Linked DNA regions of Daphnia pulex. The protein of the gene in region 1 purifies or fractionates together with the protein of each later gene. This does not show direct contact. Links are inferred from orthologs where the notes say so. Each region holds a gene or a part of one and is shown on either strand. Other genes may lie near its edges.

Region 1 (3,754 bases):
CAGGTTGGTGAACGGGAGAGCCCAGGCATGCCTCCCGGGAACATGCGCCTGTTGTTGTTGCTGTTGCGGCTCAGGGGGCTGATTCTCATGCTGCTCTTCCCGGATGCCATTCAAGCCTTTGTTGCTGTTGCTCCGGCCTCCGCCGTTTTGTACCAAACGTGTTAAACTGATCAGGCCAGCTTCTGTGGTTTTTTGTTTGTTTTGTTTGAGGATTTTAAGGTCGGGTTTCAGTGGTTTTGTGTACACGCAGGATTCCCCACACACAGCGGATTCGATGGTTTTGGGTTTTGTTTTCGGGTTTTTTTTTGTGTGGATTTAACGAAAATTTGCAACAGGCAAACGGAAAGAAAAGAAAACCAAATGTAAACGAGGCAAAAAAAAAATAAAATTTCGTGCACTTAATAATTTGGTTGATAAAAACGAAAACAAAAAATTGTGAATCAATGTTAGGGATTTTAAGACGGAGTCAGCCACTTCATCTTACAAGCCGATTTAAAAAATAAATAAAACACTTGCAAAAGAATAATGAAAATTTGGCGTACCTGTTGCAGCAAGGTTGTGAGCTTTGATACGATAGGACCAATCCTCTAACGCGGTATCGATGCCGCCTTGATTGCCGACCATATTGTAACAAACGTTAGGAGCCGATGTTGATCGTTCTCTTTGGGCTAGAGGTGGAGGGTGGCGTCGAGGAATCTGCATCGGCTGGAATGTCGGCGGGTATGTAAGGCCGGCTGTGTACGGGTACGGTACGGGGCCCTCTGGACACGATATTAACCTATCAAATATTCCATACAAATCAGGATTAGGTCATTGAATGTTTGAAATTCGCCATTTTTTAAATCTTTCTGGAACTTGATAATTTAACAAAAGTAAAAGCAAAAATGTTTCTGTTGCTGACAAAAAAACGCCCCTAAATTTAATTCCAAGAAAAAAAATTCCCAAGTACTTAGAAGACCTTCAGCGTAGTCTTTTGATCTCAAACTATGGCCAAGGTCTTCTAGGTATGCAATCAAATTTTCACTCTACGCTTTTGAACGCGAAAATTGGATGAGAGCAGACTCGCAACGATGTACCAACGCAATTTCCTTTTACGACACGATTACTCACATCTGTAGGAGTGTGTTTTCGGCTACGTGAGCCGGATTGCACAAGGGAGGGACGGCTGCAGCGCAACGCTGATGAAAACGATATCCGCACGTCCGACAATAGAAGCCTTGAAAGAGCAGGCGTCGGCAGGATTCGCAGTAAGCCAAAGAAAAGAATGTTTTGCGCACCTTTTCAAATCAAGTTTTAAATTAACGATTGAAATGTAAACCAATGTCGTCTGATTTTTTGTAAACTTACGAAATTGTGAGATATGCTGGTTGTGGCTGAGAAATTATCCTTAAGTTTAACACGAATCTCTCCACCTTCGACTGAAGCTATATCGGCATCCCATTGTACTTTAACCTTTGGGGAGAAAAATGGGGGAATATTGACATTATTGTTATGCGTGTAACTTGTTTTGTAATACCTCAGGCTGTGTGCATCGATAGACCGCGCACGTGGACGGGTCCAGCTTGCGCAGCTTCATAGCTTTTGAAAGGGCTTCACGCACAGTTTGGCCGGGTTTGACTTGTACGATCGTCCGTTGCTCGTTGGGCAGGTATGCTCGCACTACCGACTTTAGAGGTGATCGAGGAGGAGGAGGGATAGCAATTAAAGGCGGACCGGGAGCTTGTTGTTGATGATGAATTTGTTGTTGCTGGTGTCCATGATGATGACCACCTCCATCTGGCCCAAATCCTGTTTTGAGGTGTGGTGGCAATTCAGCATCGGAACAATCTTCCAACTCGTGACCACCAGGACTTTGTCGTCCATTGGATGCCGTAGCTGCGCTTACTCTTTCGATGAGTTCTTGCTCTCGGGCTTTGAATTCGTGCAATTTGCTTGTCAATTCATTGTATTCCTATTGAAAAACAAAAACCAAGTCATTCTGATGTCATAATGAAATGAGTAGGACATAGAGATTATAGATTTGTTCAAAGACAGCTATGTTTTAGTGGAAAAACTGGCTGCGCTATGGAAAATCTGCAAATGTAGTTTTATTCGACTTTTGATGATAAATGAGCTTTCAGAAGGGAAATTGAGGGGTGGAACTAAAGAAAACTGAATTGCACTTACAGCTATGTACATCAAGGGTGGGTGTTGGAATCCAGCAAACTGTGCATTGAGCGCATCAATATTTTCTTTGGTGAGGCGAATGACACTTTGAATGTTCCGCAGCTGCAAAGAAAACACAAGAAACAATGAATTAGAAAGCCTTGTATCAAGCAAAACACTATTGAAAAGATAAGTAGGCATTTTGAAGTTGATGCTCAATGATGGACCTCAATTGATATGATATTGAATGTCTGTTTTGAGGCTGTCACTGAATCAAAACAATTCAGTGGGACAGTGTTCCCAAGAAACTTTTCCACTTAAAGCGATCAAACCATTGGGATTCTTTTTTGGAGCACTTTGTTTTCGGGAATGGTCCTCTTCGATATGAATTAATTTTGCAGATGGAATGCTTCGATAGCGTCAAAAAGAATAAAGCCAAACATCCCGGTGGAAAGTGAAACGAAATGACATTTCTCAGAGATCTCTTTCCTGGATGTCATTCTTCGAGCGAACCAAACAACACTGTAAATAGATAGTCACCTCATCGTGAATCGTTCCTGTTTCTTCATATTTGCGATGTCTTTTAGGGCTGGGAAGGGTGAAATTCGTCATTGTACTGCCGAGAAGAGTCTCGTTCACGGCCATCTTGGACCGATTTTTTTTCTCTCCCCCTTCTTCTTCCATTTATTATTTTTTTCCCTTTCATTCGCTGGGCACCAAAGTCTTGGCGATCGCGCTAGATGGCTTCAAACTTGAAACGACATCTAGCGGCAACGCATCAAATCACTTTTTTTATTATAATCACGTGATCTTTTGTTTATTGTTTATGCGGAAATGGGAACTGCCGATTGCGTGTATATTATGTAAATAACTGCGAGTGGAGTTGAAGGCTAAAATATTGATATACAGCATATCTATTTATTTTTCACTAAACTAATCAAGTAAAGAACAAGTTGTACAGGATCAAGCAATGCCCTTAAAGAAAAGTGACTGACATGGTAAAATACCGCGTAAATTTGAAAGAAAAACGGCCAGCCATAAAAGTTCCACAAATTGAAACGATGGCACGATGTTTCTGGCTTTCGAGTTGAATAACAATTGTGACTAAAGATAATTACGTAATTGAAATATTATGTCTCAATTGGGTGCTGCTGAGTGAAAGGGTTTTTTTTTTTTTTTAAAATCTAACAACAAAAATGTTTTCCGGTTGCGGCTTCCTTCTCGTAATCATCAGCAATTTTGACCCTGATTAAAGAAAATGTGGAGTAATTTCTATCATGAACGATTTCGAGCAAATGTCAGTAAAGATCCGTCATTTGCAAAACAACAAGGGATTTTACTAAATAATTAAAAATAACGACGGGGTTTCACGTAGCACTGTTAATATGCCGAAAACATGTGCCCGTCAAATTGGACTAGTACAATTGGGAGAAGGAATCGAAACTGGTTCTAGGTTCCAGCCAGCCAACAAAAAAACTAACAAGGAAATTTAAATTTGGAAATATTGTTGAAAAAAACTGAAAAAAAAGGAGTATTCTATCTAAACCTAGAACCCCAAAAAATATGTTTTCTGAGCGACTGGGACTAACGCGCTATCACACCGCATGTT
Region 2 (3,754 bases), on another chromosome or scaffold:
AAAGACGGAACGAAATGAACTTGCCAACAAAATTGATCACGCAGTGGCCTTACAACTGGTGAATGTTGTGAACTCGGAAGCTAGTCCTTTGGTTCGCAAAGAGGTATAGTAGCTTCTTTTCGCTTTGGGAATTGAATATTCGTTAAATTTAATTTTCTTTCTAAAGATCGTTGGCGCTCTCCAGTGGATTGTTTTGATATTCGAGTCCACGTTCATTCAAATGGCTGTTCAACAGATAGAAGAGGAAAAGAATAAAGACTCGAACAGTCTCTCTCCAAACGTGGAAGTAACGTTAACTTCTTCTGGTAGTCTACAGAGGCCCACGCGTCGTTCGCGGGCCTCCACATCCAATGCGATGAACCTAGGCACAAGTCCGGAACTATCAGATAGTGGTTTCACCCATTCCACAAACTCCGGGCATCCAGATCATATTAGACGAGCGGTTTCTATTTCCTCTCTCAGTAGCCTTAGTAAGATTTTAATAGTAAGCCAAAAATTGATTAAAATAAAATATTTCTAAATTTTATTTTTGCAGCGAGTTCCACTTTGCCTAGTCTTGCTTTTAACACTATTTACGTCAAACTTTGGCACGGACTTTCAAGCATGGAAAAAGATCCTTACCTGGAAGTCTCTACGATGGCAAAGAAATTAACGGATTATGTGCGGAATAAGGTATTTCCTTTTTAAAAATTACGCAGTTGGTCAGCCACTTAAACATAACATGCATATTTCAGGCTAAAGAAGTGATAGCTTCACGGGAATCAGACGTTAGTCGTCAATATACGTATTCCAATTCGAGTAACGATTCTATGGATAAATCCCTCTACATGTAATGCTGTATACTATTACAATACCTCGTACAAATAACGAATATATTTGAGACTTGTTTCAGTGGGGACTCTCCTCCACGGGCCCTTGTCCAACGCACTACTCCCTCATTCAACAGAATCAGGAAACGAAGCATACCATCTACAGTAATAACATTTTGAACTGGCTTCCTCAACCGAATGTTTCTTACTACTACTCAATTATTATTTATTCGTTGCTAGATTGTGGAAGAAGGTGAAAGTTCCAAAGAGTTGAAGGATCCTTTAGTAGTAACCGGATTTGTCGAATGGTGCGCTCGTCATTTTGCTGAACCAGCTGCGTCTAATGAAGATTTTCAAATCAATATGAAACCCAATCACGAAAAAGAATTAACTATTGAATTCGAAGTACAACCTCAACATGGATTCTATGATTTTTTAGAATTATTATTGATATATTTTTTTGTTCTCAACTAGATATGCGGGAGAACACGTGAACGAGACACTGAAATGTACTACACGCGCGAATGGCGATATACAAGAAATGCTTCCGTTCGCCATGAAGCTAAAGAAGAATGTCAAAGGTGAACTCAATTTCAGGGTTTTTACCTGGTTTTTTAATTTAAAATTCTATGTTTATTTATTTAGACCAAATAAAGCAAAAATGAAAGAGGTTTTCTGCAATCGGAATCCACTGGTACCTTCAGTTATCCGCTTTCATCCCTACGATCCTTGGCTTGCTGTAGCAGATAAAGAAGGATGCACGTAAGAAACAATTCTTTTATGGTGATAAAAGTTTTTCTGTGCTCGACGAAAATTGTTCTATAATGCAGAGTATGGGACTGGGAAAGAAGCGTCCGTCTTGTCCATTTTAACAATCAACAACAACCCAGGGCTGCTCGAATTACATCAATGGATTTTGTGAACGGACATGATGATGCGTTACTTCTTATTGGTGCAGATGATGGGTCGTGCAGAATCTGGCGGGATTTTATTCGAACAGGATCTCGATCAGCAAATGCTGTTGTCGAAGATCACACTGGAGTTTCTCTTGTTTCAGCATGGAACTGTATAGCTGAAATGGCACCATCGACTCGATGTTCCGGTCTGGTTTTGGATTGGAATCAGGATTCTTTACAATTGCTAGCAACAGGCGATGTTCGCTTGATCCGCATTTGGGACGTAGAGCGTGAATTGAAAGTCAGCGACTTTCCTACTGGTTCAGAAAATTGTGTGACCTCCGTTCATCATAACCCGCGAGGTTTTGACCAAGTTTAAGAAATTTATATAATCGTTTGCGCAAATTAAATTGATAATTTTGTCTTCAGATCGATCGCTCTTTGTAGCGTCATGTGGAGACGGATCAGTCCGCCTTTTTGATCAGCGATGCAGCGCTGCAAAATCTAGAGTTATGACTTGGAGGGAGCATGCTGCTTGGGTCATAGATTGCGAATGGATTTCGGTTGAAGGAGGTGCCAACTTAGTGAGTGGCAGGTAACAATCATCTCATCGTATTAATCGTTACATTGTATGAAATTACGTTTGATAACTAATAGTTGTTTTTTTTTCTCAAGTCTGGCGGGTGACATCAAGTTCATGGATCCTAGAAATCCCAACTCGGTTCTCACCGTAGCCACAGCGCCTAATTCGCAAGGAATGACTGCCATGGCAGTCCATCCCAAGGCTAACTTATTTGCTTGGTAAAACAGCTTTTGTGTGGAAAAATGCTTATTTTCACTAACATGCATCGTTTTCATTATTAGTGGAATTGTCGGGCAGTACATTACCGTACACGACCAAGAAGGAGAAGTGCGTTCTACTATCGCGTATCACGACGGCGGTGGTCTTTTGGGCTCCAAAATTGCAGCTGTCTCCTGTTTAACCTTTCATCCACATCGGGTGTGCCTCGCTGCTGGAGGCATGGACTCGATGATTTCTGTTTTTTCTTCAGATAAGTCAAAGAAGTAGAATGGTTTGCTTTTGTTGACTCACCGTCAAGATTCGTCGTTTTCTTTTTTTCTGTTGGAGATTTTTCAATTCGAGCCGCGAGACCTCGCATATGTTAAATACCCAGTTACAAACAATCACTATTGTGAGCGAAAGATTCAAAATGAAGCATCCTCTATATTAATTCATGCACCGAATTAAATTAATTGTGTATCTTAAATGTATTTTTTTTTGTGTGTGAAGCTTCCTGCTGACTTCTTATCAGTTTATTCATTGGGTATGATTTTCATGTTATTATATCGAGCTATGCTCACGTTACACAAGATAAGTTTACATGCCCATGCTGTTTGGGTCGACGTTCTCAATCCATGTGAGTATTGGGTAATACAAAGTAATTGAATACCAAAAACTTTGTCGATGAATTTCCGTCGTCAGAATGTTTAGACGACATTGTTCGACTTAAGTAAAAAAGAAAATGTGATGCTTCGGCTTTGATCTTTCTACCCGTTTATCAGTTGTTGCGATAAGGTTATCGGAACGGAGCTTTTCCGTTGTACTGATCAGCTGGTGGCCAGATCAATCGTTTATGTGTTTGAACGCAGTGAAAACCAACGTCGCATTAGCCTTTGTTAACCTCGTATTGAAAACGGGATTAAGTTGTCAAACTCACCATGAGGATTCCCAGGTTTACTGAGAGCTGGTGTGGCTGTTCTCTTCAAACGGGGACTAAAATTATCAGCATCTTTTCTGTGGTACGTTTGGTACACCTTGTTACATGTAAAACTCTTTTGATGCTTATGATTATGTACATATTATCCTTAGGTAGTAAAGCTTCTTTTAGTGATTTTACTGAGTATCGCATGTGCCTCCTTCGATGCCCTATACAACGGTCCCCATGACGGTAGATTGTCTTGAAGAACTTGAAAAGACGTAAACTAATGTTCAATATTGAATTCTGCAGGAAAATACAGTGCAACTTTAGCGGTACTGATAGTATTCCT

What was found.
Region 2: the proteins of serine/threonine-protein kinase B-raf-like (region 1) and regulatory-associated protein of mTOR-like purify together in Homo sapiens (affinity purification with mass spectrometry; 3 studies listed by BioGRID and IntAct, with this or other methods). This does not show direct contact. The link is inferred for Daphnia pulex from reciprocal best matches to the Homo sapiens genes BRAF and RPTOR.

What each region holds. Positions count from the first base shown.
Region 1 is NC_060021.1:7,351,000-7,354,753, reverse strand, and holds the start of serine/threonine-protein kinase B-raf-like, read right to left. Parts: upstream 2,843-3,754; 5' UTR 2,830-2,842; coding exon 2,686-2,829; intron 2,269-2,685; coding exon 2,167-2,268; intron 1,952-2,166; coding exon 1,517-1,951; intron 1,453-1,516; coding exon 1,348-1,452; intron 1,278-1,347; coding exon 1,111-1,277; intron 779-1,110; coding exon 543-778; intron 183-542; coding exon 1-182. UniProt on the Homo sapiens protein: Protein kinase involved in the transduction of mitogenic signals from the cell membrane to the nucleus. Phosphorylates MAP2K1, and thereby activates the MAP kinase signal transduction pathway. Phosphorylates PFKFB2.
Region 2 is NC_060017.1:2,269,727-2,273,480, forward strand, and holds the end of regulatory-associated protein of mTOR-like, read left to right. Parts: coding exon 1-103; intron 104-166; coding exon 167-470; intron 471-535; coding exon 536-672; intron 673-734; coding exon 735-829; intron 830-892; coding exon 893-974; intron 975-1,049; coding exon 1,050-1,214; intron 1,215-1,283; coding exon 1,284-1,390; intron 1,391-1,454; coding exon 1,455-1,571; intron 1,572-1,639; coding exon 1,640-2,067; intron 2,068-2,134; coding exon 2,135-2,300; intron 2,301-2,380; coding exon 2,381-2,506; intron 2,507-2,569; coding exon 2,570-2,774; 3' UTR 2,775-3,505; intron 3,506-3,575; 3' UTR 3,576-3,654; downstream 3,655-3,754. UniProt on the Homo sapiens protein: Component of the mechanistic target of rapamycin complex 1 (mTORC1), an evolutionarily conserved central nutrient sensor that stimulates anabolic reactions and macromolecule biosynthesis to promote cellular biomass generation and growth.